2 linked regions of the Notamacropus eugenii genome follow. The protein of the gene in region 1 binds, or shares a complex with, the protein of each later gene. Links are inferred from orthologs where the notes say so. Each region holds a gene or a part of one and is shown on either strand. Other genes may lie near its edges. The genes, in order: KATNB1 and KATNA1.

Evidence for each region.
Region 2: the proteins of KATNB1 (region 1) and KATNA1 are in contact, whole or in part, in a crystal structure (PDB 5OW5), measured with the Mus musculus proteins. The link is inferred for Notamacropus eugenii from reciprocal best matches to the Homo sapiens genes KATNB1 and KATNA1. Residues at the interface, in NP_083081.2 of Mus musculus: Leu485, Val486, Asp487, Glu488, Ala490, Met491, Gln493, Ile494, Arg495, Gly497, His498, Met501, Phe502, Val504, Leu505, Thr506, Arg508, His509, Leu512, Asp513, Val515, Arg516, Trp519, Thr521, Asp542, Leu543, Ile546, Gln549, Lys550, Leu553; in NP_035965.2 of Mus musculus: Leu5, Gln6, Ile8, Val9, Val12, Arg16, Ala19, Leu20, Leu21, Gly22, Tyr24, Tyr31, Tyr41, Leu50, Lys53, Trp54, Gln56, Val57, Glu60, Ile61, Val63, Glu64, Gln67, Val68, Asp70, Ile71, Thr74, Leu75, Ser77, Phe78.

The regions. Positions count from the first base shown.
Region 1 is NC_092872.1:716,382,237-716,399,031, reverse strand, and holds the start of KATNB1 (katanin p80 WD40 repeat-containing subunit B1), read left to right. Parts: upstream 1-8,045; 5' UTR 8,046-8,305; intron 8,306-8,349; exon of another isoform or gene 8,350-8,456; intron 8,457-10,198; 5' UTR 10,199-10,478; coding exon 10,479-10,518; intron 10,519-13,788; coding exon 13,789-13,919; intron 13,920-15,418; coding exon 15,419-15,536; intron 15,537-16,795.
Region 2 is NC_092873.1:241,696,526-241,713,046, reverse strand, and holds the start of KATNA1 (katanin p60 ATPase-containing subunit A1), read left to right. Parts: upstream 1-10,609; 5' UTR 10,610-10,741; intron 10,742-16,521. UniProt on the Homo sapiens protein: Catalytic subunit of a complex which severs microtubules in an ATP-dependent manner. Microtubule severing may promote rapid reorganization of cellular microtubule arrays and the release of microtubules from the centrosome following nucleation.

The sequences.
Region 1 (16,795 bases):
CTGGTGCAGAATGAAGTGAGAACTATGAATTGACATGAGCTGATGTAGAGTGAAGCGGGCATTAGCACAAGAACATTCAACACAGTAAAAACAATTTTATGTAATGATCAATGGAGTGGCTTGACTATTCAAACCAAAGCAATGATCCAAGACAATTGCAAAGGGCTTATGGTGAAAAATAGAGAACTGATGGAGTCTGAGAGCAGATTGAAGCATAATTTTTTTCACTTTTTTGTACCATGGCTAATATGAAAACAAATATTGTGTGATTTCATATGTACAATGGAGATCATATTTCTTGCCTACTCAATATGTGAGAAAGGGGTAGAAGGGAGAATGAGAATTTAGAACTCAATGTTGCTGTTTTTTAATGAATGTTATAAATAAGTGTTATTTTTAAATAAAAGCAATGAAAGACAGAGGCTTGTATTTTTTCCTAGAAATAATAGGGAGCTATGGGAGCTGATTAAGCGGACAGGTAACATGATCAGATCTGTGCTTTAGGCTTTGGTAGTCACATGGAATATGGGTCAAAGACTTGAGGTCAGGAGACCCATTAGAAGGCTGTTGTAGTTAGGTAGGCCAGAGGTTATGAAATCCTGAAGTATCTTATTGGAATTGAGAGCTAGACTTGGAGTCAAGGAGGACCTAAATTTGAATTCTGCATAAAATACTTACTAGTTGTGTAATTTTGGACATCACTTGACCTCTCTCAGGCTCAGTTGCTTCTTCTGTAAGTTAGAGACCATAGAGCACCCACATCTAGTGACCTCCCATATTTTATTGGTTCACCTCCACAATAACTCACATCCATTCTCTTCTATCTACCTGCACTGGGTTCAAAGCCTCTTGCCTGGACTATTGTAAAAACCAGCTAAAATCCCACCCTTTGCAAGAATCTTTCTGAATACTAATGCCTTTTCTCTACTGATTATCTGCAATTTATCCTGAATACCTCTTGTTTGTACATAGCTGTTTGTATATTGTCTCCCCAATTAGAGCAAGAACTATTTTTAACTTTCTTTGTATCCCCACCACTTAACCAAGATGCCTGGCACCTTGTGGGCACATAATGTTTCTTGACCGACTTAATTGACAAGTTGACATTAATTTTCCTCACAATCTTTATTCCAGCCAAACTGGACATCTGTTCCCTGAATTCAATGACATTTAAACTCCCACCCTTATACATTCTCATAGGCTGTGCTTCATGCCAAAAAATGCACTTCCTCCTAATTGCTGTCTTTTCAAAGTTTTCCTTTGAAATTCCTTCAAAGTTTTAGCTTAGATGATGCCATCTCTGGGAAGCCTAAGCTCCACCTGCCCCCATCTCCACCCCTTCCACCATCCTTGGCGTTGTCTCTTTTTCCTTAAATATCCCCAAAGCGTTCAGCTTCATCTTTCCTCCAGTCATACCCTGACATATATATTCAGCATTACCTGTGCACGTTATTCCTGTACCTCAATAAAATGTAAGCTCTTTGAAATTAGCACTGTGTTTTAGTCATCTTCAAGCATAATGCCTTCCACATAGTAAGTGATTAATCAATGTTGTGTGTGTGTTTAATTAAATGGAGATGGAGAATGGAGGTTTTGTCCACTTCATAATTTTTCCTGGTTCTAATCTTGATGAATGGTTTTGGGAACCCAGACCAAGTTTTTCCCTCTATCCTGTCCCCCTCCCCTCTTTTCTGTCTCCTGCACTGGGGTTTGATAAGGCCCAGGACATTTATCTAGTGTCAGACAGTTGGTCTCCCCTGATCAATCGGTAGCGTCCCATCAGGGTCACATGACCACTATGTGGTCACTGTGATAGTCTCAGGACACAACATTGCAACAGACCCATAAAGATAATCTTAACAACCCTATTGAGGCTGCAATGGCCTTTCTGAGAACTCCAGGGCTATGTTTCCCTGGCCCCACCCTTCCCTAAGGATTTGGATTATTTAATTATTATTTAAATACATGGTCTTTTTTTTTTTTAAATCACTTTAAAGGATTAAAGAATGTAAAATCATCAAGAACATGGTCTCATTAATCTGAGAGCTACTTTATTACCCTGAATCCATCTTTTCTCCTAATTTTCTCATTAGTTAAAACTAAGTCTGAGTATCTAGGGTTACCTCTCCTATCACCAATCATCAGCTGAACAGTGGAATATGCTTGTATGTGCTCAGCTCTGAATATAGCCAGAAGGGACATAGAGAATGATAAGCAGAGCTAGCCTTGAACACACAAATGACCAGTTTTCAATACATTGGGTAGTGTGACTTGGTGGATGGTGATATATTTGGAATCAAGAAAACTGGAGTTCAAATTCTTTCTCAGACACATTCAGTTACTCTGAATCTCAGTTTGTTCATCTGGAAAATGAGAGGACTGAATTGATCTTAAGTATTTTTATTTTGTTGTTTAATTGGGTTTTTAATTTGTTGGTTTTCTAGAGTTTTTTTAATTGCACACCTAATTCATTGATTTATTATTTCTCTATTTTAGTGAGGAAAATATTTAGAGATATACATTTTCCCCTAAGGACTATTTTGGCTGTATCCCCAAAATTTTGATCCATATATGTCAAGTATTTATATTAATTCATTGTCTATGGTGTCTTTCAGCATAATTTGTCTTATCTTCTTTAACCACGGTAACTTTTGCCATTGACTTGTCTGAGATAATGAATATGCTTTTTTTGAGTTCAGCTGAAGAATAATAGTTTTTATTGTTGTTCTGGCTTCATATTTTAACTGTGTGTTTCTTTTTAAAATAACATACTTTTGGATGATGTTTCTAATAAATTCTGTTATTTTCTTCCTTTTTATGGGTGAGTTTATTCCATTTATATTCATAGTTATAATGATTAGTTTTCCATTTCCCAACAATTTATCTTATGTTTTCTTTTTCCCTCTTCCCCTGCCTCCTATCTCTGTCTTTACAAAAAAGAGAGTGATTAAAACAGGAGTGTGTTCAGTACTAGTACTTCAAATGACTTCACCTTTGTATGGACCCTTCTTATTGCTAAGTGAAGCTACTTTTTCATGTTTTCTCATAACTTGTGTTAATATTTCAATTTTCTACTCAACTCTGATCTCTTTATTAGGAATACTCAGAAATCTTCTGTTTCATTAAAGGTTAATTTTTCCTCTGCAGAATTATAAAAACTTTTTTTTTTTTTTGCTTTTTCGGGGGATGTTTTGCTGGGTAAGTTATTTTTGGTTGTAAGCCTCTATATTTTGACTTTCAGAATGTTGTGTTTTAATCTCTCTGCTCCTTTATAAGGGTGGCTAATCAATCTAGTGCAAACTTGACTATGGCTTCTTGGTATTTGAATTCTTTCTTTCTGGCTGCTCGCATCATTTTTTGTTTGACCTGGAAGTTCTGGATTTTGGCTATGACATTCCTGGGAGCTTTCATTTTGGGGTTTCTTTCAGGAGATGACCAGTGGATTCTTTCTATTTTCACTTTTTGCCTTCTGGTTTTAAGAGAACTAGACAATTTACTTTCCTGCTTTCTTGAAATGTGATATACAGGGGTTTTTACTAGTATTTTAGGGTTTGGGATTTTTAGTCTTAGTAAGCAGGTAATTCAGGACTTATTTTCCCAATCAGTTGTTTTTCATGAATTGACTTACATTTTCTTCTCTTCTTTCTCCCAGAATTTTGACTTTGTTTAGATACTTCTGGTTTTCTCATGAAGTCATTAATTTCTATTTGATAAAATTCTAATTTTTATAGAATCCTTTACTTGAGCAAGATTTTATATTTATTATACTAAACTTTAAATTCTCCTTCCAAATCTTTTCTCCAGTGCTTTTTTTTTCCCAATTTTTTTCCTCTAAAATAATTTCATTTGTAATCTGAACTCTTTAAAAAAAAATCTCTTGCTTTATTCATTAGCATTGGTAAACATTACCATCATTCAGCAACCTTTCTCACATTGAAGTTCATGCTTTCCAAATTTATCCAGATCCAAGTGACTATTTTACTGATCTCTAGGATATTCTTCCTCCTTTCTCAATGAATTGAGTACATGGTTCACAGTTTATTTGTACTTGTATCCTCAGTGCCTAATACAGTGTCTGTCATATAGTGTTTAATAAATACTTGACATTGATAAGGTACTTGTTGAAGTCAAACAGCCTCAAATAGCCTGATCTCCCATTTCCCCACTTTGCTCAATTCCCATACCTACTCCTCAATTCTATTTCAGTGATCCACAGAGATTGTCAAAATCTTTGATCTATCCATTACCCATAAAAGTCCTGCTTCCATGACTGAGAACTGAGAAATTCCTTTATCTGATCACAACCTCCTATCACTATATCTCTCCCTTTGTTTTATATTCTTTTCCTCACCATGACATGTAATCTCTCTCCTCTCTGGTATCACAGAATCACAAAACTGGTCAATTGGGACTCTTCAGTGAACTTCTAATCCAACCTATTTACAAAAGGAACGCCCACTATAACATACCAGACAAGTGGTCATATTTTGCTAGGCTATCACTCCTGCTTTGTCTGCCTCCTTCTGTCTCAATCTCAACCTTTTGGGGACCCTGTTGGACTCTAAACCATCCTCTACTCTTGAATGCTTTACTCCCTTTTACATTCAAAGATTGGATCTTGTCAAAACTTGATCCTGGATTTATTTCCTCAAACCACTTCCTCCACTCCTACTCAGCTGCTGCAAGCTGGAGAAAGTCATGCAACTGTACTGATGAGGTCTACTACAAATCTGTATTATCAAATCTCAAGTGTATAATCACTGAAAAACAATCCTTTTAATCCTTCATACTCTTCTATCCCATTCTCAATAATGGCTGTTCTGAAAGTTTCTTTTCTTTTTTCTAGGCTTCCACAGTACCTACTTCTCCTACTCTCTTAGCTGAGCCCCTCAGTTACTGAAAAATAACAAAACCATTCACCAAGAGATCCCTACTTTCCCTTCTCCCCACCTACCAACCCTTCCTTACTTCCCATCTCTTTTACATAATACCCCATCATATCTTCTTTTATTCCAATTTCTGTTAAAAAGGTGTCCCTTTTCACCAAGGCCCCCTCTACATGGGCCCATGTATCCCATCTCGTCCCATCTTATCCATTAGATTACTCCCAATCATCATCATCATCATCATCATTATCATCATCACTCTATTTTTCACTTTGTTTCTGTCTACTGGTTCCTGCTGACCACAAATATACCCGTTACCCTGATCCTTAGAAGTAAAAAACTCACTAGATCATCATCTCTGATAACTATCACTATTTCTCTACTGTTTTTCTTAGGAAATCTTAAAAAAGCAATCTTCACAAAGTGACTGTTTTCTTTCCTCTTTTCATAGTACACTACAATATGGTTTCTGATCTCTTCATTCCTCTGATCTTGCTCTCTCCAAAGTTACCAATGATCTCTCAAATGATAAATCAAATTTCCTCTTCTCTGTCCTCATTCTTTTTGACCTCTCTATGACATTGACACTGCTGATCATCTCCTGGATACTCTCTCTTCTCTGGGTTTTCAAGATACTTCTCTCTCCTGATTCTCCTTCCACCTAATCCTTCCTCAAGTCTCCTTTCAGATTCATCATCCATGTCAAGTCCACTATTGTGAGTAAATCCCAAACTCTCTTTTCTCTATATACTCTCTTAATTGACCACCTTATCAGCTCCCATAGATTCAATGACTACTTCTGTGCAGATTTTTATATCTGGTCCTAGTCTCTCTGCTGAGTTCCAGTACTGGATCATCAAATGCCTATTGGACACTTATAACAGGCTATCTCAATTTGAATGTCTAAAACAGAACTTCTCTGCATCTACTTCTCCTCCAAACTTCACTATTATTGTGAAGACTACTATCATCCTTCCAGGTACCTAAGTTCACAACCTTGGTATCATCACACATACCCAATTAAATTGCCAAATCTTGACATTTCTATATTTACATTTTCACCACCATCTTAATTCAGGTCTTCATTACTGGACTATTGCAATACCTCCTATGTGGATTCCAAGTCTCTCCCCACTGTTACCAAAGTGATCTTCCTGAAGCATAGATCTGATCATGCCATTCCTCTAAATAAACTCCTTTCTTGTTTTTATTCTTATTGTTTAGTCATTTCCAGTCATGAGGTTTGCTTGGCAGAGATGGTTTTAGAGTGGTTTGCTATTTCCTTTTCCAGCTCATTTTCCAGATGAGGTCAACAGGGTGAAATGACTTGTCCAGTGTCACATAGCTAGTGTCTAGGGCCAGATTTGAACTCAGGTGCTCCTGACTCCAGGTCCCAAACTCTTTGTCCACTGCCCTACCTAGCTGCCTCTCCTAGTACCTCTAGGATCAAATGTTTATGTTTTTTAAATCTCTTTACAATCTGGCCTCAACCTACTTTTCCAGTCTTCTTAAACTTTAGTCCCCTCCTAGAACTTCTTGATCCAGCTATATTGACCTACTCAATAGGTTTTACATACACATTATTCCATCTTGTCTCTATGCTTTTGCACTGACCCTCCTCCATGCCAGCAGTGTACTTCATTATCTCTCCCTTTAGAATGACTAGTTTCCTTAAAAACAACCCAAAAAACCCTGTGGTTTCCTTCAAAATTCAGCATATCACACAGTCTACAAGAAGCCTTTCCTGATGCCTAACCCCCTCCCCCTCTTTCTAGTGCATTCCCTTGAATACATTGATATATATAAAACAGTATTTTATATGTAGCACATATAATATAAATTACATAGAATATAGTTTATTAATATATTTATATGGTTTATATAATAAACATATTATATATATTTATATATAATGTATACAAGGAAATTTACTAGTATACTTATACACATATGCATGTGTGCGTATTATATGTATGTATATGTATACACACACATACTTGTGCATGTACATGCTATCCTATTATAATACAAGCCTCTTGAAGTCAGGGATTTTTTTTTTTGTCTTTTTATCTCATAGACATTTTTTTCATTTTTGTCTCTGTATCCCAGTTTTTAGCAAAGTTCCTGACACATAGTAAGATCCTAATAAACTGCTTGCTTGCTGACTGATAAGATCTGAAACAGGTCAATAAAGTTAGAGTCTCCTGTGAATTACAATATTTTTAAAAATGTCTTGTCTTTTTTTTACATCATTATTTTCCAAAGGCTCTCTTCCTCTCTCCCCTTCTCCCCTCCTCCAAAAATGACCCTTTCTTTTAACAAAGCATGATTAAGCAAAGCAGCAAGCTGGCCACATGGGAGAGCCACACTATAGCCAGTCCACCACCAAGCTGGCCACATGGGAGAGCCACACCAGAGCCAGTCCACCACCTCTCTGCTGGGTCAGAGGCACCCCTGAAGTCACCACCATTCTTTGCATTGATTGGGTTTTCATCAGTGTATACAAGTCTTCACAGGTTTCTCTGAACTCTTCATCTCCGCATTTCTTTCGGAACAGTAAGATCCATTCCATTCCATTCATAGGTTACACTGGCTTCCGCCATTTTGCTACACGTGGTGCCGCCATTTTGTCAATCAATGGGTTCCCACTTTCCTTCCAGCTCTTGGATACCCCACCAAGGGCTGCTCTCGGGGTGGCCTCCTCCTTTGACCTCATCACCGCCTTCCTGGCCTTGGACCCTCTCTGGACTTGGGATCTCCTTCTTCTTTCCCAGCTCCACAAGTCTACGACCTATGAACCAGCACCCACTCCTTGAAAAACTGGACTTTGACCACTTGGCTACGTGGACTCAATTTCCTCGTGACTCTTGAGCCCCAGGGCTGGAGTAGAGGAAGGAGTCAACTCTGGAAGGTCACTTTTCCCACTTTGGACACTAAGATATCAGGGAATGGGGCAGGGGGAAGAGTCTCGCCTCAGACTTGCCCAAAATCAATACGACAGCCCAACTACTTCACGGTTCTCCTCAGGATTCTTTCTATTGGCTGAAGCCCGACTGGCCTCCCAACAATGACAACTGTGATTGGTTGGAATCTGGACGGTTGCTAAGGGGATTGGTGCGGACGCCGTTGGAGGCGTGCCGCAGACTTTCAAACTTAAATGAGAATGGGGAGGAAGGTGGCGGGGGGCGGGACCAGGATGGATGGAGCTCCGAGGTAGAGGCGGGACTTAAGAAATCGCAGGAGCACATTGGCTCACCATAGACCGGGGGGAAGACCTCGAACATCCTTTCATTGTGATTAGTCGAAATTAGTGAAAGAGGGGCCGTGATGAGGGAGAGCGGCAGCAGAGCCTTTCTTGATTGGTGAAGATTTCCTGGAAGGCGTGGCATCCGCGGCGGCTGATTGGCCTGAGGGAGAAGGTAGGCGGGGACGGAGGCCGGAGGTTTTGTTGTGAGGGTCGGTTGTCAAGCAGCGACCAATCAGGTCCGAGGATGGAGTCAGGTGGGGGCCGCGCTGGGAGCGGAGCCTCCACCGTCCGAGCAGCCTCCGCCGCCGCTGCCCCCGCCGCAGGTGAAGAAGGGGGCGAGGGCGGGGGCTGAAGGGCCGCGGTGGCAGGGAGCGGCCTGGGTCCGTGCCTCCTGAGCCGTGGAGCCGGGGTCGGGGGCCCCGCGAGAGGCCGAGAGCGGACGGCCTTCCCTCCACGGCCCGGCCTAGGCTCCCGGCCCCGGCCCCCGCTCCCACCAACCCCCGGCCGGGTGGGGGGGAGGATCGGAAACGGCGCGCGCCGGGTGGAGGGGGACGAATAAAGAGGGGGGACCTGAGGGGGCGGGGCCAGGGGCGCCGAAGGGTGGAGTGGAGGGGCAGGAGGAAGGGAGAGAAATTGGGGGTGTAGAAGGATGGAGGTAATGGGGCGATGGAGCGGAGAGGAAGAGGGAAGGGGACAGAATTGGGGGGCGCAGGGGTGGGGAGAAAGGACGGAAAGATGGGGGGCAGAATGAAGGGAGAAGATGGCGATGGTGATGGGGGCGAACGGAGGGCAGGGAGATGGGGCGCCGTGGGTGGATGGACAGAAGGACTGAAGGAGTGAATGCAGGGGGGCGGAAGGGGGAGGGAAGAAGAAATAAGAAGGTGGGAGACTGAAGACACAGTGGAAGAGGACGGAAGGAAGGGCAGGAGCGAGGGCCCAAGGGAGGGAGGAGGGAGGGATCGCCAGGTGTGGCTGGGCGCCTGTGGAGACACCTTGCTGCTGGTTGTCAAGCTTCAGGTTCACAGCCCTTTCTCCAAGTCTAATAACCAAATAGTAGTTATTTCTCTCTTACCCAGGAACCCTGAGGGTCTCACCCTCCCAGTTTGAGTTGTTTTTGATTCAAGGGGTCATCCTTTGTGTAACTTAAAGAAGCGTATTCATGGAATGGATGGTTCTCACTCAAAGTGAGAATGTGTTAAGACCTTAGCCTGAAAGGACCAGGGTCCCACACTGCATCCTGGACCATCTCCAGTCATCCTGATGAATATAAGGCCCCTGGACCCAGATGGCTCAGGAGAAGAAAGTGAGGCTGGTGACCTTGCACAACCTTGCTTCACTCAAATCAAAGTCAACTGCAAGTCATGTCATCCTCTTGATGTCATGGTCCTCTTTGAGAATGAAGGACAAACACATCCAACAATAACCAAGTCAACCCCTTTGGCTACTGCCCTGGGGAGAGTGAAGGGAAAGTAGTGATCTGGAAGAATGGGACTTCCTTAGTTCTGTTATAAAGAGATATTCTCTTTAGGATTAAATTATGATTTCCTTTGGGACCTGTGAGGTAGGGGTTCCTCCTGCCCCCTCTTCAGTTCCATAACGTCTTGCTTTGAAACAACTCCCTGAAAAAGGCTGAGTGTTGGGTGGGCTGGCACAGGTTTGTCAGCCTTCTTTAGAATCACTTGATTCTATCGCTTGATTGGCAAGGGAGGAGGAGGGTGGTACCTCTAGTGATTTGGATTTTGTCATTGTAAAAATCAAGCCTTTCCCTGAATTTGTTTGATATTAGGAAACAAACATTGTGTGGCTGTCTCTGTGGTCATATTGAAGACTTCATAAGAATCCACTTTTTCTGTTGCTAATCAAAATGATCATATTTAAGAGAACCCACTCTGTAGATGCTGCTGCTGAGAACACTAGACATACCTCCTCGTTCCTTCCAAAGCCAAAGGTTTTATTAAGGGGACTGGATACCTGTACTGGTTGTTGTTTTCCTTTAGATCAAGAGCTCATGCCCCTACTCATGGTATGTCAGGTAAATTTAAATGGATTTTTGTTTCCCTTTCAGGTCAACATAACTGTACAATGGACCAAAACTGATTCTTCATGCTCTGGGATGTGTACTGCTAGGCACAAACTGCTTGCTTGGATGTTATAAAACGGGACTTAACAAAGGGCCACAGAAGAGGGAATTATCTCTGCCTGGATGTGTCGAAACTACGCTCCAACTTGAGACTTGAGTCTGGGGGGGTTCTTCCCCCACCCCACCGGGAAAGTGGAGTGCTCCCTTCGCAATTCTTCCTGGTTGGTTTGGGGGTCCACGCCAACTGAAAGGAAAGGCTGCACAAATGGCGACCCCTGTTGTTACCAAGACCGCATGGAAGCTACGTGAGTCTCCTGCCTTTCTTTTTCTCTTGCTGTCTACTTGTTAATCTTGTTAGCCACCTGTTGTCCTGTGGAGAATGAAGAGTTCCAGAGGGGACGCATATTAGCCTTCAGCATCCTTTCTTATTGGCTCAAGGATTTTGAGTTAGGCTGATGGGTTGGACAGAGTAGACTAAAGAACATGCCCTTGATGGTTTGCTGCAACCTTTAGGGGAATTTTATAACAGGAAATAATGTTGTTTCCTTGTCAGGGTGACACCTTTGCAAAGGGTCACTGACTAGAGATGGAAGACAAGACCTGACTTCCCTCTGAATCATTCTGCCAGACAATTGACCTACTCCCTTTTCCCACCATGGCCAGGCTCCTAGAGTGTTGCTTCTTACTGTACGGAGCTGGGATAGTGGCGAGAGAGTCGGGTTTGAGGATGAGGATCAGAGTTTGGAGGTTAGGATTACTCACTGCCTGTGTGAGCTTAGGAAGCTTAGGTAGGTCTCTCCCCTCTTGACCTCAGAGGTCTCTTCCAGCTCTCAGTCAGTGATCCTGGCCACCTCAAGTCCTAGTTAAGATGTAAGCAGGTGCCCATGTCAGAACTGTCCCAAGGAACTTAGGCCTTCTTGGTGAGACAGGAGCTGTTATGGGGCTGCTGTGTCTGAGAAATTTCTCCACGAACCTGACGTGGGCTCTGATTCTTCAGGGACCAGAGACCAAGACAGGAGTGGTGATCTAAGCCGAGGACTCCCCCCTGTCCCACTCATGCATGGATTGCTGCAGGACCCAGTTCCTCTGGTCTGGAAGCAGCTCCTGCCGGACCTCTGCTTGTCAGAGTGGTCCAGGGCTGTGGTCCGGAGGTCAGGCCTTTCCCCGGTGGCCAGGATGCAGTTGGTGCTGTCAGCCCTGGCCATGGCACAGACATGATGAGATTTAGGACAGGAGGCTCCCCTTGCCCGGGCCCAGGCTGGGGCTGACCCAGAGGCTGGCTCACTGCAGATGGCAGCAGGCAGGCGTGGCTTCCCTTTGGGCTTGCAGCCTGTTTTCTCCTCTTGGCACTGATGGATGATGTCACTGCTATTTTCAACAAGCACCTTAGCCATCATTTTTCTTGTTGATTATGTGTCTCTTGCCCTGGCCCTCCCAGATCAGAAGCCCTTCTCCATTCCCTGCTTAGTTGTGTCCCCTGCATCTGCCTGTTGATCTTTCCAGGGCCTAAATGCTCTTTTCCTGATGACCATTTAATCTCGGTGCAGCATGACACCCTCCCCCACTCCTGCAGAGTCACTGCCTTGGTCTCTAGGAAGTGTGCTCTGCAGCCGCAGAAGAGGCACAAAACATCCAGTCAGTAGCTCCATTTTACAGAAGGGAACACCGAGGCCAGGGGTGGGAAGTGACTTGCCCAAGATCACTTAGTAATAGTGTCGCAGCCTAGACCAGGTCCCCAGGGAGGGTGGATAGAAAGGGGCTTAATCCGATTGAAATACACCCTGAGAGCTCCTCAGAGAACAGAGCCCTGAGGGGAGAGCTGTCCTCAGTGGGAAATACCAGGGGCCCAGAGCGCTCACACAGGAAGAAACCTGGGGAGAGCCCCATGACCAAGGAGAAGTTGGGTCTGGTTGTGGCCATAGTGCAGGGGCCTAGGGCTGTCACCCCTGACCTCAGGGGCTGGTGACCCTGCCCCTGGTCTCTCTGCCCTCTGGTCTTCAGGTTTGTTTTTAGTAAGGAGCTTGTAGTTACGTACCTGATGAGGCCATTCTGCAGGGTTAACACAGTATTAGAATTACTTTGAGATCTTCAAGAGAAAGGATAGTCTCGCATGTGCAGACTGCCCTGTAGACTCCCAGTCATCAGCAGCAGTTGTAGAGGATGTTGGTTCATCAGCTGATGGGCCCTTCGAAGTCTGTGCTCCAGGGGCCCCTCAGAGCTCAATATGCCTCAATGTCCAGCTGTGTTTCCGGGACAGAGTCAGCGACCCTGCCCCCCCTCCACCCCCACGATGCCCCTGCCCCATTGTGAAAGCAGAAAACTTGGCACCCGATTGCTCTGCCACCTGGGAAAGGGATCTAGGAAAGCCCAGCACAGTCAGTGCTGCTGTAAGTCCTTGACACAGCTCAGGTCAGCCATGCTGACTACCCCAGAGGTCCTCTCACTCACTCCCTTGACACCTGAGACATGAACACTAAGTTCTTCTTCTTGGGTCCATGCTTTGCTTCATGTCCGGCCCTCCAGGACTGTGTAGTTGCCATGTGGGAACCCTTTGCCAAATGCAGGTCAGGGATGACCCAATGCCCAGCCTCTCACCTCCTCCTGCCCTGCATCACCCTGGCTCTGGCAGCTGAACACAGCCTCCTGTGTCCTTCCCCTCCTTAGATTTGTCCCCTCTTCTAGGACCTCACTCACACTCCGCCACCTCAGTCACGCCTCCAGAGGCAGCTCAGGCTCCAGCCCAGGTGGGCTCAGACATGGGCTCTGATGCTTCCTGGTCACGTGCCTGGGATGGAGCATTTCACCTCCCTGGACCTCAGTGTCCTTTTCTATAGAATGAGGGGTTGGTCTTCCAGGCCTCTGAGGTTCCTTCCCACTCTGAATCTATGGTCCTTGAAAGATTGACCAGGGGCTGGTCATTTACCATTTGGGGCCCAATTTCCTCTTCAATAAAATAAAGGTAATAAGAATTTCTCTCCCCAGTTTGTAGGAGCATTGTGATGATCAGTAAAATTGTTGGTCTAAACCTGGAGATTCTTGAGTCCAACCCCTTTATTTTACAGAGGAGGAAACTGAGGCCCAGGGAGGTCAGCAGCTTGCCTGAGGTTACACAGGCATTAAGTGTCAGAGACTGTGTTTGAACCTGGGTCTTCCTCAGAGACCATACCCTAGTCACTGGGCCATTCTCTTTCCTTGAGGATGAATGTCAGAGCCCTTTGTGGACTAGGAAGGGGATCCTGCTGGTCACTTCCTCCTCTGGACTCCTCTCTGCAGACCATGTATAGCCTTAAGGAAGCCGCTGTGCTGTTGTCTAGGATGGGGCTTTCAGCCTTTCCTCAGCCCTCAATTGTAGTTCAGAGTGGTCCCCACTAAGCCTTTCAGGTGATAGAAGGAAGCCATAGAGTTGGAGCCTGGAGGCTGAGGCTGCTAGGGCTTTCAAGCTCTGAGCTGATCCTGATTGGAACCAGGCCTCAGGCAACAAGGCAGGTAGTGTCGGGGGACACAGCTCCTCACCCCTCTGGGTACACTGCTTCCAGTGACCCTGTGTCTCTGTTCCATTCTGTTCCATTTTCTAGAGGAAATTGTGGCCCATGCCAGCAATGTGTCTTCCCTGGTGTTGGGCAAGGGCTCAGGACGGCTCTTAGCAACGGGAGGAGATGATTGTCGGGTCAACCTGTGGTCAGTTAACAAGCCCAACTGCATCATGGTAAGAAACACCAGATGGGGAGTGGGCAGGGTCTGGGAGGAGATGACAGAACCAGGCACTGGCCCCAGACCTGAGGTACTGACTCATCTTTCCCTCAAATCCATTTACACTGTGCTACTAAGTGACTCCAAGGAGCTTGGGAGAGATGTCCACTCTAACCTGATAGCCCACCCACCAAGGCCTAAGGAGCCTAGAGCCTCTGAGGCCCTACAGGCTGGGGAGGAGTTCAAGGACCTGGGTGTGAATCCTGATTGCTACTTACAACCTGTGTTACCTTGGAAAAGTCATTTAGCCTCTCAAGGCCTCAGTTTCCTCATCTGTAAAGTGAGAGTGGTGGGCCAGATGGCTTCTCAAATCTGTGATTCTAAGAAAGACATAGTAAGAATAGAGGGCAGAATGGACAAGCTGAAACCAATTGGCAGGAGCAGTGTCTGGTTTGGGAAGGGCCTGATGAGCAAAGGATGTGGCTACTATGGGAGCTTCTCCGTCCCTGAAAAATAGACCCATTTTTCAGCTGATAAGAATCAAGTTCCATTTGGGACAGGCCCACTTGGGAGATGACACTCTTAATGGGAACTAAATCAGCATGCATTCAGTCAGATGAGGAGGGAGCTGCTGTTCAGTGTTTACTCTTTGGATGACTTGTCCCCCAGGAAACGTGGGCATCTTCTTCAGATGAGCCATGCATGGGCAAACTGCATGGTCCATTTTCAGGAACAGCTCTGATCACTCATCTCCCAGTGTGATGAGTGAGGCCAGGGTGGCAGGAGACAATGATTATGCCTGTCAGCCCAGTTCCAGGGCCAAGAGAGTCTGCCTACCTCTGCCCCTGCCAGGACCTCAAGCCCCAGCCCCCTTGATCTCTCCTGGGGTATTTATTGAAACGGCTCTTGCCTGCTCTGACCTATGTGAGAATCTCCTCATCTCCCAAGCAGGAGTCTCTCACAGTCTCTCTGTGCTAAGCTGAGCCCCTGGGGAGCATGGCAGAATTGGACGCTGCAGTTAGGATGGTAGCAGCATCCCAGGGATCAGGTAATATCAGAGGGAACCTGCATGTCACAGCAGCATCCATCCCCCTCCGTAGGCCTGTTGGCTCTGGCCATGTGCTGTGTGCTGCAAGTCTTCACTTGGGCTCTGCGTGTTGTCTTGGGAGTGGGGACATGTGTGTGTGTGTCACATGCATACACGTGTGTGAGCAGAGCATGGAGAAGACTGTCTGCCTTTGCTGATTTTGGCTAAAAAGGTCACATGGGAGGAGAATAATGGTAGGCAAGGGCAGCAGCATCAGAGCCTCTAGAATGACACTGTCACCCTTTTAGAGTTGGGGAAACTGAGGCAAAGAAAAGTGATATCCCCAGAAGTTAGCCAGAGCTCAAGTCCCCTCATCCTCAGTCCAATACTATTTCTGCGCAGTTTTTATGTTTCCACTGGAAAAAATGAGACTCTGGCCCTTCCCTAAAAAGGGCTGCTGCTCTAGGCCTGTTGTCTTTTGCCCACAGAGCTTAACCGGCCACACGTCCCCCGTGGAGAGTGTTCGCCTCAACACCCCTGAGGAGCTCATTGTGGCTGGATCCCAGTCAGGCTCCATCCGAGTCTGGGACCTGGAAGCTGCCAAAAGTACGTTGGTTTCTTGCTTTTTCTCCATGCTTTTTGTCCTTATGTTCCCACTGAGGTTCTGTGGCCTCATGGGGCGGGAAGAGGAAAAACGCTCCTCCCAGAAACCTTTCATCTTGTTGTCAGTGAAGGATTCATTGACACAGTCGGTGCTTGTAGGCCTAAGGACGGGGTACTCGGCCCCAGCGGGGAGAATAAATGATCAGATCCCCCAGTGGGGGGCCAGGGAGCCCAGGACAGCCCGGTGTGCACACGGCTTGGCAGCACGCAGGCAGGGCCAGGCTCAGCCATTGCTGGTCCTCCTAATGCCGGGCCCAGCTCGCTGCTCTAGGTGTGCTAGTTGTCATCCTGGTAATTCCCATCATCATTCCTCTTGTTAGTGAAATTGCCCTCTCAGCCTGGAAAGTCCTCTGCCCCATCTGTGCCTGCCAAAATCCCGTCCTGGGCCCGGCCCCAATCTCGCTTTTCATTGTAGTCCTTGGTCTCCTTTCCTCCTCTCGTTCCTGCCTTCTCACATGGTTTGATCTGTCGTGCTCTTCTGACACTGCGCTGCGGGTCCTCGTCTCCCTGTCCTGTCCTTCCTGCTGAGCTGTAAATGCTGCAGGGGTGTCATCTTGTCCATGTGTGTGAACCCCGTAGTATAGCCCAATGCTTTGCACATAGTAAGTGCCCAGCAAATGTGGATTTAAGTTGAAAGGAAAAGAGAATGGAGAGGAAGAGACAGAAATAAGAAAGGCAAGGAGAGAGAGATGTCTTGTGGGGGAAAATGCCACGTGTCATCAATAATTACCATATGTCCCCAGGTAGGGGGAGAAGTTGTCTGCAAGATAGCTTGTGATAGCTGATTAATGATAATGAACAGCTAATAAATGGCCTTTGGGCCGGTCAGACTGTTGGACGTGCTCTGTAGTCCATTCTACTTGATTTGAAGCTTAGTCAGAAAGGGCATGGGTCTTTGCTTGGCCCCTTGAAGAAAAGGAGGGGAGAGGGCCTTGGGAGTATTGTTGCTTGGGGAAGGAGAATTTGGCAAAACTCAGTCCCATGTCATCTGTGTCTCTATTAATCAGCATTTCTGTGGAATGTGACCAAAATGTGCTTCCAGCCAGTAACCCAGTGGGCCCTGGGTAAGGAGCCAGGACACAGGCTTCAGACACAGGCTCCAAACGGCTTTCTTTCCAGCAGTCCACCTCCTCACACCTCCATGCCCTCCAAAAGTTGCCCCTGCATGCCTTTGGCCAAGTGCCCTTTTCCATCTCTGCCAT
Region 2 (16,521 bases), on another chromosome or scaffold:
ATTTCTAGTCATACATTTCAATTATGCCCTTTATTCCACTTTTCACGTACAAGTAGGGTCTTCTTACATCTACCATATATACTTTCATTGCCCTTTGGGTTATTTTTAATTTTGCTCCTGCTAAGAATCATGGTGTCCCGTAATTCCCACATAGCATTATTGGAAAGTGCCAATGTTGTTGAAAAGCAATGTGCAATCCTGCCAAGCTTCTTTTATGAAATAGATATAGTGCTGATACCTAAGCTAAGAAGGACAGAAACAAAAGAAAATTATAGACGAATCTGGATATGCATATAGCAAATGGATATGGATGCAGACGTTCTAAATAAAATGCTAGCCAGGGGACTACAGTAATATATCATGAAGATTATACATGGTGACTCAGATTTATACCAGGATTGCAGGGATGGTTGAACCTAAGGAAAACTATGAACGTAACTGATTACATAAAAAAAATAACAAAAATCATATTATGTCAATAGATGCAGAAAAAAATTGACAAAATCCAGTACTCAATTAAAAATTCCTGAAAGCATAGGTATGAACAAATTTTTCCTTAAAATGAAAAGCATCTGCCTAAACCATCAGCAAATATTTAAGGATGCCCATTATCAGCAGTATTACTCAGTATTGAATCAAAAATGTCAGAAATGACAAGAAAAAATTGAAGGAATCAGAATGATTAATTGAGGCAATACTTTGAAAATCCTAGAGATTCAATCCTAGTTGAAACAATTTTGACAAAGTTGCAAGACATAAACTCACGTATCATCAGCATTTCTATTTATTACCTACAAAACCGTGCAACAAGAAATGAGATACCCCATTTAGAATAACTAAACTCTAAAATACTAGGAAGTAGACTTGCTGAGAAAAATGCAGGAACCACCTTAACATAATTATAAAACACTTTATACAAGTAAAGTAAGATTTAAATCTTTAAAGAAATTTGAATTGTTCATGGGTAGGCAAAGCCAATATAAGAATGATAATTCTACCTAAACTACTTATTCAGTGCCATCCTAATTAAATTATCAAAAAAAAAATATTGAGGTAGGAAAAATAATTCAATTGGGAGAACAAAAAGTCAAAAATATCAAGGGGAAAAAATGTAAGGAGGATCAGGTACCAGGTCTTACACTATATCATAAGGCAACAGTTATCAAAACTGGGACTGGCTATGAAATAGGTGCATCAGTAGAACAGAGCAGGTTCATAAAATGTAAAGTTTTAAACTTTTGTAATAATATACTATTTGGTAAAAACTTGGGAAAATTATAAAGCAGTCTGACAAATTGGATATAGAACAATATCTTACACCACTTGCCAAGATAAGATCAAAATGGATACATGACCTAGATATAAAGGGAGGTATAACAAAACTAGATCATGTAACGCATTACGAATCAGATTTATAGATAGAATTTATGAATAAACAAGAGGTAGCATTGTGAGTTGTAAAATGGATAATTTTGATTACATTAAATCTAAAAAGTTTTGTACAAATAAAACCAATGTAGCCTGGATTAGAACAAAAGTAGAAAATAGGGGGAAATTTTGTGGACAGTTTCTCAGAAAAAGGTCTCATGTCAAATATTTAGAGAACTTTGTCAAATTTAGAAGATTGAGTCATTCCTCAATTGATAATGTTCAAAGGATATAAACAGTCAATTTTCAATGAAGAAATCAAAATTACATATAGTCATGAAAAATGTTCTAAATCATTCCTGTTTTTCAGATATCTCACACCTAAAATGATAGGAGAAAATAATAAATGTTATTGGCGATGTGGAAAATTGGACATTAATACACTGTTGGTGGTACTGTGAACTGATCTCACCATTTTGGAGAGTGATCTGGAATTATGCCCAGAGTTATAAAACCGTATATATATGACTATTAAGTTTGTTTCCCAAGATGATCAGGGGAAAAGGAAAAGAAGATATGTGCTCTAAAATATTTATAGCAGTTCTCATTCCAGCTCCATAAAACTGGAAATTGAAGGAATGCCCATCCACTGGGGAATGGCTGAACAAGTTGTGGTATATGATTGTGATGGAATACTACTGTGCTGTAAGAAATGACAAGCTGGTTGATTTTAGAAAAGCATAGAAAGGCTTGCATGAAATAATGGAAAGTGAAATGAGCAGCACCAAGATAACATTGTGTACGTTAACAACAATGTTGTTTGAAGAATAATTGTGAACAACCAAGTTACTGAGTATTATAAATATTCAAATCAACTACAAATAACCTATGCAGGAAGATGCTATCCACCTCCATAGAATGGACTGATAAACAGGTGTATGCATAGTGTGGTTTTACATATAAATCTGTGTAAAATGATAGCCTTCTCTAATGTGGGGTTAGGAGAGTGGGGGAGAGACAGTTTGGAACTTAAAATGTAACAACAAAAAAAAGCAATGAGTAATTTTACAAACATGCTTTTTAACCTGATCAGTGAATTCTAGGGTTCTAGTTTATTACTCCCATTGATCTCTCTCTCTGTCTCTCTCTGTCTCTGTCTCTGTCTGTCTGTCTGTCTCTCTCTCTCTCTCTGTCTCTGTTTCACACACACACACACACACACACGTTAAAAATGAATTGCTCTTCCACTACATCTGAAAAGCTGAAAAATGAGTATTTACCATCCACCTTGTTTTTTCAGTATGGATTGTCATACCTTTTTTCCAATTACTATGACTCATACTGAAAGGCTTTGGATCATTATGGAGCTTAATGGAATTGGCACAGTGCATTCTGCAAATAACATCTGGAAATGCTCTCCAGCAATAGGGAATACTTTGGACTGCATAAAGCAGTGATATCAAACCCAGATAGAGTCTGGGGACCACTAAACCATCCATCCATCAAGTGCAAGTCTTCTTGGGCAACAAAGGACAAACATGATCCTGTGAGTAGATGCAGCTGGCTGAATGCTAGCCGGGTACCTCACCTCCTGCTCTCCTATCTGCCTCTCCCTCCCCTTCCTTCTCCTCTCCAAAGGAAGGTAAATTTGGATGGCCAAAAGTTGCCCAGTAGACCTGAATTTTACTGCCTTCTTCCTTTCCTTTCCCTTCCCTCCCATCCTTTTCCCTTCCCTTCCCCAAGTGCGAATCCAAACCTCATAGAACATAGCCCCTTAATAAAAGGATTTGTTCTGTAAAACTTGACCTCAGTCAACAGGCCGCACTGAGGGCCTAGAAGGTCACATATGGCCTAGAAGCTGCAGGTTCCCCACCCCTGCAATCCCTTTTCAACTCAGTTCTGCTCAGTCTATGCCTCTTATTTTTCCTCTACCCATTCATTGCCAATGACTACTTTCCCTTCTTTGCTAAGATTAAGGCTTTCCTTGAGGAAAGAGTGAACCATTGATGATATGTGAATGTAAAGGAATTTTTTTTGTGCCGTATAAGAAATAACAAAAAAAAAGATAATGTCAGAGAAGTTTGGGAAAACTGGTATGAATTGACAATGAAGTGAGCAGAGCTTGAAGAACATTTCACAAGATGACAATACCATCGTAAAGACAACCTGGAAAGACTGACAAACTCTGATCAATGTAACAACCAATCATGATTTCCATGAAGTATGCTGTTCACCTCCTGACAGAGAGATGATGGATTCAAGATGCAGAGGAAGACGTACATTTTTTTTTAACACAGACATCATAGGAATTTGTTTTACTTGACTTTATTTGTTGTAAAACTCTTTTTCCTCTTTAAAGTGGTAGAGGAAGAGTGGAGAAGGAAAGGAAAGTTAGGGATAGGGGTACCAAGAAAAACACACCTAAAGAAAAAGGATAATTGAAACATTTTCAAAATGTACAGAATAGAGCAAAAGAAATACCAAAAGGATCCACAAGATAAGTAAGATAATTTTGAAGGTGACATTGACTTTGTTATATACTTAAAACAAAAAATCAGCTACATATAATGGAGATGTGGTTTCATGTACTTCCTTCTGTACTGTGGTATTTTACTTGATGTTAAATTCAGAATTTTAAAAAATGAGAAAAAATCAAGGCCTTCCACTGTGATGCTCCTCAAAAGTCCCTCCACTCCTAGCCCTCTTAATGTCCTCATCCATAATTTTCTTCTTCCCTCCAGTTTTAGATGATGGGACAGCTCAAAGAAAGACATCAACTTTAAATCTCTACTTCCCTATGACATCTTTCTTTAAAAAGCTAATTTTAGGTATCTTGGGGAAAATAATTTCATCTGCTTTAGCCTGTTGCCCTTCCTGTTTCTCTAATTTTCTTAAATGATTATCATTTCACACTCTGAAGTGCATGTTCAAAATGTAAAGTTTCTTTTTATCCTGTGACCTTCTTAAACCAGTAGCAGCTTTTCATTTATGATTTTTCCATATTAGCTTTTTCTTACCACTCTAGGCATTGGTTGCCTCATTCACAGAATAAGGAAGTTAGACTCAATGGCCCCTAAAATCTCTTCTAGCTCTAAATTCTCCTTGTTTATATCATCTCTTCTTGTTTAGAGTATTATGACAACTGTTTTCCTTTTCCCAGTCTATTGCTTCTTTAACCCCTCTACACACTACTGCCTGAATAATCTAATATTCCATTTTCATGCCACACGTGCAGAAACCTCCATTGGTCCTCTGAAATTGGCTTTTTGTAATTTCATAATTACAGCGTAGTAATATTCCATTGCATTCATATACCACAATTTGTTCAACCATTCCTCTTCATGGGGTAGGCTCCCATCTCTTTTTCTTTTAATTCACCCTTCAGGATCCATATGTTGGTTTTACTTTCTACTACTTCTCATCCAGTATTAGCCTCTCTCATCTTCATGCATCCCCACTTACTTCCCTATAAAATTTGATGTGTTTCTACACTAAATTCTTTGTGTGTTCAACCCTTCTTTGATCATTTCAGATAAGAATGAAGTTCATCTAATGTGCACTCTCTTCAACCTACCATGAGGTTCTTCCCGGATAGTGACAGTGTCAGAGGAGAGAAGGGGACATATATACAAGATGTTACAAAGGGGAAATTGGCAGTACTTGGAAACTGATTGGATATGGGAGGTAAGAGAATAAAGAATCTAGGGTGACGTAAGTGGCAAGCCTGCTGAGTGGGAGGATTGTGGTATCCCCAGGAATAACAGAGAAATTGGGGAGAGAGGAAGGTTTGTAGGGAAAGATTATCAGTTCAGTTTTAGACATGTTGCATTTACAATGTCTATGAGATATCCAATGCAACCTATTCCATAGACAGTTGGAGATGTGAGACCAAAGGTCAGAAGAGAAGTTAGGTCTAGATAAATGACTCAAAAAGTCATCTGGATAGAGATGATAATTGAATCTATGGGAGCTGAGGAGATCAAGAAAAATAGAATGGAGGGAGAAAAGAAGAGGGTCTAGCACAGAGCCTTGGGAGACACTCATGATTATCAGGTACAATCTGAATGAAAATCCAGCAAAGAACACTACAAAGGAGCAATCAGACAGCTAGGAAGAGAAACAGGATAGACTGGTGTCATGCAAATCTAGAGAGAAGAGATTATCAAGAAGAAAATAGTGTCAAAGGCTGAGGAAATATCAAAAAGGAAAGTTCCCGCTCAAAGCTGGGAAACAGTTTTTACAGCAAGTGTCTCTGATAAAGGCCTTGTTTCTAAAATATATAAAGAACCAAGTCAAATCTGTAAGAATACAAGTCATTTCCCAATTGATAAATGGTCAAAGTGTATGAATAGGCAGTTTTCAGATGAAGAAATTAAAGCTATCTATAGTCATATGAAAAAATGCTCTAAGTCACTATTGATTAGAGAAATGCAAATTAAAACAATTCTGAGGTACTACATCACACCTATCAGATTGGCTAAGATGACAGAGGAAAATGATAAATGTTGGAGAAGATGTGGGAAGATTGGAAAGCTAATACATTATTGGTGGAGTTGTGAACTGATCCAACCATTCTGGAGAACAGTTTGGAACTATGCCTAATAGACTATAAAACTGTGCATACCCTTTGACCCAGCAATACCACTGCTAGATCTGTATCCCAAAGAGATCATAAAAAAAGAGAAAAGGACCTACATGTACAAAAATATAGTAGCTCTTTTTGTGTGGCCAAAAATTGGAATTTGAGGGGATGCCCATTAATTGAGGAATGACTGGTATATGAATGTAATGGAATACTATTGTGCTATAAGAAATGATGAGCAGGCAGACTTCAGAAAAACCTAGAAAGACTTGCATGAACTGATGCTGGGGGAAGTGAGCAGAACCAGGAGAACACCACACACAGTAACAGTCACATTATGTGATGACCGACTTTGTTAGACTTAGCCCTTCTGAGCAATGCAATGATCTAAGACAATTCCATGACTCATGATGGGAAATGCTGTCTACATCCAGAGGAAAGAACTATGGGATCTGAATGCACATTGAAGCAGACTATTTTCTCTTTTGTTGTTGTTGTTTTTTGTTTTTTCTTTCTCATGATTTTTCCCTTTTGTTCTGATTCTTCTTTCACATGACTAACCTGGAAACCTGTTTAATGTGATCATACTTGGATAGGCTACATCAGATTGTATGCTGTCTTGGGTAGGGGAGAGTGGGGGGAGGGGAAAATTAGAAATCAAAATCTTATAAAAATCAATATAAAAAGTAAAAATGAATAAATTTTTTAAAATAAAAAATAAATTTTTAAAAAGGAAAAACCATCCTATTCATCATTTCTTATAGCGCAATAATATTCCATTACAAACATATACCATAACTTGTTCAACCATTCCTCAAATGATGGGCATTCCCCTCAATTTGCAATTCTATAAATTGCTGCTATAAATATTTTTGTACAAATAGATTCTTCCTTCTTTCCCCCTTTTTAAAAAATCTCTTTTGGATACATACCTAGTAGTGGTGATGTTAGGTCAAAGGGTATGCACAGTTTTATAGCCCTTTGGGCACACTTCCAAATTCTCATTCTTTTCTACTACATTCAAGACAGTTTTTTTCCCATTAACTAGGAGCTGACCATAGTTAAATCTTGTTCAGATGTACAAAGAGGGTACAAGACTTATAAAGAAATCATATGCCAGGACTTTAAGGGACTCTGATTTGCTCAGTTGCTTACATGTGACAAAATGTGTACAAACCCTTTCTTCAAGCTCAGATCAAGTTGGGCATACAATTTCTCTGAACATAGGCTGACCTTGGGCTGTGTATACTGTATGCATCTTGGATTTCTTTGACTTTGCATTACTCTTCAGATACAGCTTCTACCTCAGACCCATGTTTGATTTGTATTTCATACGTGGAATTCCAATAACAGACTTCTCTATATGTACCACCTCTTGCTTCTGGTCCTCATCTGAGCCTTACTCCCATGTGAACTTTTCCATATCACAAAATTCCAAACTCACAAAACCTTAGCCAATACTGTGGTAGATTTTTGGCCATAATCCCTGACCTCATCCCATTTTGGAATCAGGAGAATCAACATAATCCTTACATTGTAAGGGGGTAGATGTTCTGGCTAATGCTTGAAAACCTCTACTTTCACTTTAAGTGTCCTGAGGGGAATATGGTGACCATTATTATCCATCACTAATTTGGGATTTGCCACCCATTTCTTGGACCCTACATTTGCTGGAACTAGAGACATACTGGCAAGGCTGAAACAAATTACATGGTGTTTGGAAAGGCCAATTTTCTAGCTGCCAAACCTATTACCTAATTTATCATAACACTGTGTGTCTATACAAGTGGCAGATACCTAAGTGAGCAAATGTATGATAGGCAGGTTGTCCTAGGTGATTCTTATGACCTAAGTCTGTGTGACACTGCTTTTACAATCCATTATAGTTAAGACCAGTGGCAAACCTTGCCCTACGGAGAACAGAGTGAATGAATGAATGAACATTTAAGTTTTACCATGTGCCAAGAGTCTTGCTAAGTACTGGGGATACAAATATAGGCAAGCAAAAGAGTCCTGACATTCAAAAAGTATCCATTCTAACAGAACACAATGCATATAAAGGCATCTCAGCCAGGGAGGAGTGTTTTGTCTGTCTTTCCTATAATTCACTTACCTTTTCCTTTAAGTTTCTGGATATAATACCATTCTGGGCAAATAAGTACTTTTATTAATTCATTGTCCAAAGTACCTTTCAGAATAATGTAATTTCCATGTGAATCTCTTTTAATCAAATCTATGTTTGCTCTTGCTTTTTCCACGATTGCTACCCCTGCTTTTTTTATTTAGATTTTTCTGTAGCCTCTTATTTAAATTCTATAGAACTTTGTATTTCAAGTGTACTTCTTGTAAACAATATGTTGTTGGATTCTGTTTTTTAATGTCTGCCTATGGGGAGTTCATGGAGAAGAGTGCTTTTGGACAGGGAAGGCAGAGGGAAAGGTGATTGGAGTCACAGGACCATTGACTGGCATGTCCTTTCCAGGAAGAATAGGGCTGATTTCAACTACTGTTGTCAGAATTAGAGTTGGAAGAAAGGGGTCAGAAAGGGACAAGAAGGGTTTGCTTTCATCATCCTGACATGGAGATTGTAGGGAAGTGGATGGTGGATCTGAGTCCATTCACTCCCTAGTCCAACCAAGTTGACTGACCCTCTAAAGATTCAGTAACTGGGAATCTTGAACTTTCCAAGATACTGTGGATACATCTACTCCTTCTCCTATCTTATATTTAGCTGAAAAATGACTGAACAACAGCAGGAAAGCAAAGCACTTTTTACTCACCAACCGAACTTTTGACTGAACAACAAATCTGCCTAGATTTGGCAGTTAAGCGATCATTGGTGTCTTTGGGGAGAGCAGTTTTGTTTGCATGATGTGAAGTCTGCATGAAGCCAGACTTCAGAGAGTTAAGAAGAAAGTAAAAGAAGGGGAGGCATTGATTATAGTCTTTTTTTGTAGCTCAAAAAGGATTTTATTTTTTTAAAAAATTTAATTTGTTTTCAGTTTTCAACAATCACTTCCATAAGTTTTAAATTTTCTCCCCCTCCCTATTCCCTCCCTCCCCAAGACAGGCATGCCATCTTATATGGGTTCTCCACGTACATTCTATAAATAGCCAATTTAGCCAAAAAAGAGAGAAGAGATAAGAGATGATAGCTAGTGGAGATAAGCAGATCAGGGAAGGATTTCTTGAGGATGGTGGAGACGCGGGCGTGTTTGTAGGCAATAGGGAAGCAGTCAGAGGAAAAGGAGAGGTCGCCAAGACCAACGAGAGGGTCGAGATGATAAAGGGGGGGATCCGCTACAGGAAGCAGGAATAAACGGGATCCCTTGTATCTGGGAAGGTGTTGGCCATGGCAAGGAGAAGCGCCACCTCACTGCGGGACTCGCGGGGAAGGAGCAGACAGTAACAGAAGGGTGAGGGGAGAAGAGAGAGCTCCCAGCTAATGGTCTCAGGCAAGGCTTTAAGCGGGTGGGGAGGGGCAACTAAAGACGGGAAAGCAAAGGCACTACTTCAGCAACAGCTGGTAAGCTAGCTGGCAGCTCCTTGACAGCGCGGCCAAGCGTAGTGACAGGAAGACCCGAGTTCAAGTCCTTGGCTGTGGATCCACGGAAGTCAAACCACCTCTCAGCCTCATCTGTAAAAAAAAGAAAGGATAACAGGATCAGACGAGGTAACATATAAAACCCTGCCAACCTTTTAAGCCCTGCATGAATGCAGTTTGTTCTGTTGCATGGAATGGAGGAAGCTAACGCTGTGAAAAGGTGAGTCGGACCTGCTATAACATCGGGGGTCCCCAAAGTCCTAGGGCAGTTACAGAAGAAGCGCTTTACCACTTTTGGGGACCTGTGCGCGCGCGATGCGCACGTATATAGGCACGCACAGGTGTATGTTGCGCATACACACGTACGCATGCGCATTAAATAAACATAATTGTCTACCGAGCAAATACGAATTAAAGCATAAACAGGATGTAATGTATACAATATAGTCACACGACACGTGCACACACACCTGACTGCGTATACACAAATGCGTACACACACACTACTCTCTCAAAAGCTACTGAAGTTTAAAGCTGCACCGAGGCTTTCGGGACTCCGCGCGTGTATAGGCTACATCCACTTAAGGGGCACTCAGACTCAGAATCCCACGCGTGCGCGTGTGCACGTGTGGCGATGTGGGTAGGCTCTATCTCTCTGTCTCTCCATACAGTCTTTTTTTTCCGGCTTGGAGCCAGGGCTGACGGGGCCTCAGACGTCCAGGAGCAGAAGACCCCTCTCGGCGGAGGGGGAGTTCGCTAATGGCAGCCTACCCCTCCCGGAGAGGATCCCCCAAGGGCGGGCCAGGCTGGCTCCGCCCGCACGGTCCTCCGGGACAGGCGTCGGAGCTGCCGCGGCGGCGCTCAGAGCGCTCGCGACAGGTAACGCCGCTGCGGTCCTCGCCGCCAGCCCCACCCGCTTGCCGACGTCTGCGCGCTCTCCAAGACCAGGCGCGCGCACGCCCCGTTCGTCCTCGCTCCCGGGGCGTTCCCTTTCTCCCACGCATGCGCCCATGTCGCCTGGGCCGCCGCGGCCACCGCCGGAAGTGACCCTGGCGGGTTTGACTTCAAATTCTCTGTGAGGTGGTGCGGCGGCGCCGGAGGGGTGGCGGTTGGGCGAGGAAGTGCAGGGTAGGGGCTCGAGAGCCTCTCTTCCTTGCTGCTGGGGGTGGGCCGAAGGGTCCGTCCCGCCCCCTCGCCCCCCAGCCGCGGAGGACAGTTTCCAGCTCCGGACGCCGAGGCGGACCCAGGTGAGCCTCTCCCCTCCTTCCCTCCTTCCCCCCCGATTCTAAGGCCGCGGGCGCTGAGGCTGTGGGGGGTGGGGGAGGGAAGGCCGGGGGTCCCGCCCCGCATTCCGTGCGGATCCCTTTCCTTCTGTTCCTAGTGATCCCCGGCCCGCAGGCCCCGACTTGGCTGCTTGACACACCTGCTTCTCCGAGCCTGGCTTTCCCCTCCTCCCGGGGGCCTGGGGCCAGACCCCAACCCGCCCCCAGCCTCGCGGGACCCGAGAGGTCCGGAGGCCGGCCGGGCAGCCGCGGCGTTGGAAGCCTCCTTTCTACACCCCCCTTCTTTATTTGAAGACTTTCTTCTTCTTGATTTTAAACGAATGCCCTATTTTGGCTTTTAAGTTCCTGTGTCATTTGGAGAGTAATTATTTTAGTTTCTCGTAGCGCTGTCAAATTCTAATTGCCCCCCCCTTTAAAAAAAAAGTAGTTTTGGGGAAAGTTTCTTATTACATGTTGTTTTTTCCCGGATATTACTCCTTGTTGCATTAATGGCAAAGTTTCTGAGGAACGTGATTTTTCTCCACTGGAAAGGCTCTCTCGTCCCACGCCAGCACCTTGTGAAGAACGAAGCCAGTGTTTTGTGTTTGAATTGTGACTCCCGAAGGCTCCCTCTTAAAACAGTTCAGCTTTTGACTTGGGTCCTTTCTTGGATTGTGAAACAACATTGCTGGTGTTTTAGAATGTGTGCACAGACCTTTCCTTCCCAGTCACAATGGTAGAACACTTCTGATGTGATTTAGGTACTGTTCGTACAGGCTGAAAAGTTCTCGGTATAGAGTATGTAATAATGTATGTTATCTACATACGGAGTAGCCCAACTTTTCCAGAGGAGGATGAAAACTTTTTTAGAAATTAAAGGTGGTTCCTTGAATGAGACTTTTTAAAAAATTGGAAGGATAATTGGCACGATGGGCATTCTTGTACAAATAAATGTTAGCAGCCTTTCCAGGAAGCGAGGATAATCGTATACTGTTACATATTTCTTCTTAGCTTTATGTCATAAGCTAAAACTTTAAAAGACAGTATTGATTACTTTCCACCCAGTCCTAGATAATACACTTCAGAAATTTGGTAGGAAGTACATTGTGGAATTTTCAGTTTTTTTAGCATAGGGCTAAATGTTTTCCTTTTAACCTTATTGACTGTTTTACAAAGATAGTGTTCTTTGTCAGAAGGCATAGTATGTTGAGTCGTAGAATGTTGATTACTGATAAAATGCTGAGTACATTTAGTCATCCTGCTTGTTTGGTAGCTTAACTTAAATATGACTTTTTGTCTATGTTTTTGTTGAATTATGTATTTCTTCATCACCCACTGTTTTGTCTAGGATAAATTGAGCTTTATATCTTATCGTTAAATGAGTATGTATATGACTTTTTCCATTACAGTCATTTTCTTGCCTCAAGTTACATTTCTTAACAACTATAAAGAATAGTGTCCTCAATCCCCCATCTTTAAAATGTTTAATTTTTAAAATACTTTCCAAACATAGGTTACTCTAAGATACTCTTGTATCACAGCAATAACTTTGTCAAGCTTTAAAATGAGCAAAAACATCTACCAAGTTCTAAGTGGTCATGGGTCATTCATTAGTGATTATTCATCATTACCAGTGACTGATTTATAATATCTGCAAAATCTAATTACAGACCTCAGATGTTAGTTCAGAATTATTTACCAGTGTAACACCTTGTCCTTTTTTTGAAATTTGGTTTACTGAACTCTGGTGTATTTTATTAAACACTTTTTGATTTGACTTCAGGTAATGTATAGTTAATCTTTTTTATATATTTGAGTAAGCCAGTCTTGCAGAAAGGAGCAAAAAATTTTTCATAGATTTTTGTCCATATTTTAACAATGCCCCCATACTTGGATGTCCCCAAACCCCAGCACCTCAAAAAAATAAATTCAGAGGAATTTTTTTTTCTTTTGAGAGCTTTGAGGAAAGGAGATAGAGGGCTAAAGAGTAAGTAAGGTTTTTTTTAATTGCTTGTTCTCTTAACAAAGTATTTTCCCCCCCCTCCCCTTTTTGATTATTTCCTAGTTGTATGTGAATAAAAGAACTGTACTCACACTTACTACATAGATATCACATGTGGTCTGACCTTTCCGAAACATCAGATGTCATCGCATTTCATTTAAAAATCTGATCTTGCTGCTTATTTTATTAGCATCTTGCTCAATTAATTTTAATGAGTTTAGTCATCAGTTAAGTCATTAATCCCTCACAAGCCACCTAAACAAAGGATGACTCTCATGGGATGAGAGTAAGTGGAAAAGCTTGTTCTGGAATGATGTAGGTGCAACCTGTGATAATTGTGAGAAGTAATATTTTATGAAGTTAAAATTCTTTGAAATTTTTTGGACAAAAATATAGTTCGTTATCTTGTTAAAATTATGAAAAATTAATTTTTGTAGGATTGCATTAAAATGTTGAATTAATAACTAGTGTTCAAAAATTATAGTTAAAATTAGGTGCATTAGCTTAGTGGAAATTTAGGGTGAGTATTAAAGGGTGAGAATCTTGTAGAACTATACAGTATTGTCATTAAATTGGGGAGGAAGATGGTGTTTAGGGTTACAAAACTGTCTAAAAGAGTAAAGAAAATGTTCTTTCAGTGCTTGGTACAGAGTGATTGTGCTATATAATCAATAACCTGTCTTTTACAGGACTAGATGTTTCTTAAACTGGATTCTTTTTAAAACAACAAAATTGTAAAATGACAGGTCATTGCCCATAAGGAATATCTGACCAGATGATGAAATTTGCTATAAACATTACTTTTTAAAGCCAAGGTAGAGAAACCTTGTTTACTTATCACTGGTTTCTACCCCTTACTCCCTTTTCACTTCACAAAGAGGTTAAAAAAATGTTTATTTATTTGTGTATGCATCATGCATCCCTAATTTTATTATAAGTCTTAAATACAGGGTAGCCCCATTGGATTATAGCTTTAGAGTTGGAAGGGAACTTGGAAATCTCTAGTGCTATCACTGTCCATCCCTGATTTATATATGAGGACATCAAGACCCACAGAGGCAAAACCACTTGCTTAAGGTCACACAAATACAATATAAAAGACAATATTTGAACTTGATTTTCTGACTTTCTTCACTTTAGCATATACCTCTGATTGTGGCATAACGTTTAGCGATCATTTAGTTAATCAAGCAGTTCCTAAGCATTTATTCTGTATTCGGCCTTATACATACATACATACATACATATGTATGTATATATGTGTGTGTATACATATATATATATATTATATATATGAGTAGCTCAAGAAGTATTGACTACCATAGTTAATAATATGGGGTTCTTCTCTTCCTTGGGAGTGTGGGTGCTTGCAGTAATTCTGCACTATTAAGATTTAGAGTTGGAATGAATCTTAGAAGCTGTTGTCTAGTCCAGCTCCTTCATTTTACGGATGAGAAAATTGTGACCTGAGAGGTAAAACCCAAAAATCACACAAATTTTAAGTGTTTAGGCCAGAACTTGAACTAAGAACTTGAATCACTTCAAATTCAGTGCCCTTTTCACATTGCCACTTTTCATGACAGGACATTTCTCAGTATGCCTCCATTATTTTTTTGTGATTAGCAAGCAAAGTTTTCTTATTTGTGTTAGAAAAACCAATATGGGATGGATATTTTGTCCTGCTTAGTGTATTAGTATAGATTAAAGTTAGTCTTTCTATATTGGTTGATTTTTGCATTTCTAATTAATTCTAGATCACATAAGACATTATTTTACTTACTTTTTGAAAGAGTGCATTGAATAATACATTGCCTAAACTTGCTATTAAGAGTATTTTGCAGTAGGAAAAATCCCTCCCCAATTGCCAAAAAGTCTTTGTTCTCTTGAGTCCCATTAAAAATAAATTTAAGGGCTAGAGGGAGCCTACTTAGTGGAGCAGTCAAAAAAAAATAGATTACTTCCACCCTCCTCCTCCCTCCCACCCCCATCACAAGTCCTCCAAACAGAATTAGAAAAAATGTACCGGACTTATTCCTGATCAGGAAATCCAAGAAAAAGAGATGAAAGTGAGTCATTTTTTTCCAGCCCATGTCAGAATAGGGAGAAGTGTGTGGACCTTGGGAACAGGGTCTGGTGAGGAGCATGCTGCTGGGAGCATTCCATTGTGAAAGAGGCAAGAAGAGGTCCTGGATCCAGCATAGAAGTTCCTAAACTTGTTCTGGAAAAGCCACCCATTGGCAGCTCTGTGACACACTACCCAGTTTTGGGCCACAGATCCAGGGCAGATTGAAGAGGGGACCTTTGCTGAGGGATGGCATTCTAAGGTGAGGATTGGTCAGGGGTCCTTAGCTGGTTGCTAAGCAAGAAGCATATTCAGTAACAAGCAGCAGCTGTGTGGCTTGGACGCTCGGATCTAAGTGGGTCTTAGTTCCAAACTCCAAACCAGGCTGAAGCCTGCAGAGGAATAACCAGTACAGGAGCCCCAGACCAAAAGGGAGCCAGCTGTTATGTTATTCTGAACCAGGAGAGCTTTCCTAGTGGCTAACAATGAAGGTCAGCAGCAGCTATTGAAACTCCAAAGGAGTCAAGCCCACGTACTTGTAGCTCACACTCAAACCCAGTGCAGAAACTTTTGTTTGCAAAGTTCATACCAAGAGAGCAAGAATCAGACTTGGCCTTGACTCATACCACTTTGGGAGCAGTGAAGCTTTCAGATCTCTAGCCTGAATTGTCCTTGAAATTCTGAAATAACCCAGTAGTCAGTACCCCAAGAAAGCAACAAAAAGGCCAGTCCAGACCTTTCATCCAAAAGCTTGCAAAACCTGCCTGACATAAAGTCTGAAGTCAAGAAGTAGACTGGAAGAATAAGCAACAGAAAAAGAACTTAATCTTAAAGACTTAATATCTTGACTGGGAATCTGAAAATACAAACCCAGTAGAAGAAAATGGTTTTCGTAACATCTGCAAGCGAAGCCTCAAAACAAAGTGGAAGTTGGGCATAAATTCAACTAGAATTTCTAAGAGGAAGCACGTTTTGAAAAGCTTAAAAATGATTTTTTAAAAATGTAATTTAAAGTACATAGGGGAAAATTAGAAAAGATATTAGAACTGTGGAAAAAAGAATAGCTTGACAAAAGAAATTTAAAGCTTTACCCTAATAACAAATTCCCTGAAAATGAGAATGAACCCAAATAAAAGCTAAAGATTCCATGAGACAACAAAAATGCTAAAACAAAGTCAAAAGACTGAAAAAGAAAATGGAAGAGAATATAAATTGTCTCATGGAAAAAACATCTAATCTGGAAAACAATCAAAGTGAGATTATTTAAGAATCACTGGAATACTTAGAAGCCATGACCAAAAGAAAAGAGCTTAGACATATTTTTAAAAAATCATAAAACTGCCCAAATCTCTTAGAATCAGAGAACAAAGTAGTTCTCCCAGAAGGAGATCACCTCCTGCTCTAAGAAACCTCAAAATGGAAAAAAGCTCCCAGGAAAATCATAGCCAAAATCAAGAGCTTCCAGATCAAAGAAAAAAGTATTGCAAACAGCCAGAAAAAAAGAATTCAAATGCTGAGGAACCATAGTTAGAATCATTTATGATTTAATAGCCATCACTCTAAAGGAATAGAGACCTTGGAATACGATATTCCCAAAGCCTAAGAATATAGAATTACAACTAAGAATAACTTACTCAGCAAGACTGAATGTAATGCTATTTGGGGAAAAAATTAATTTTTAATGAACTAGAGGGCTTCCAA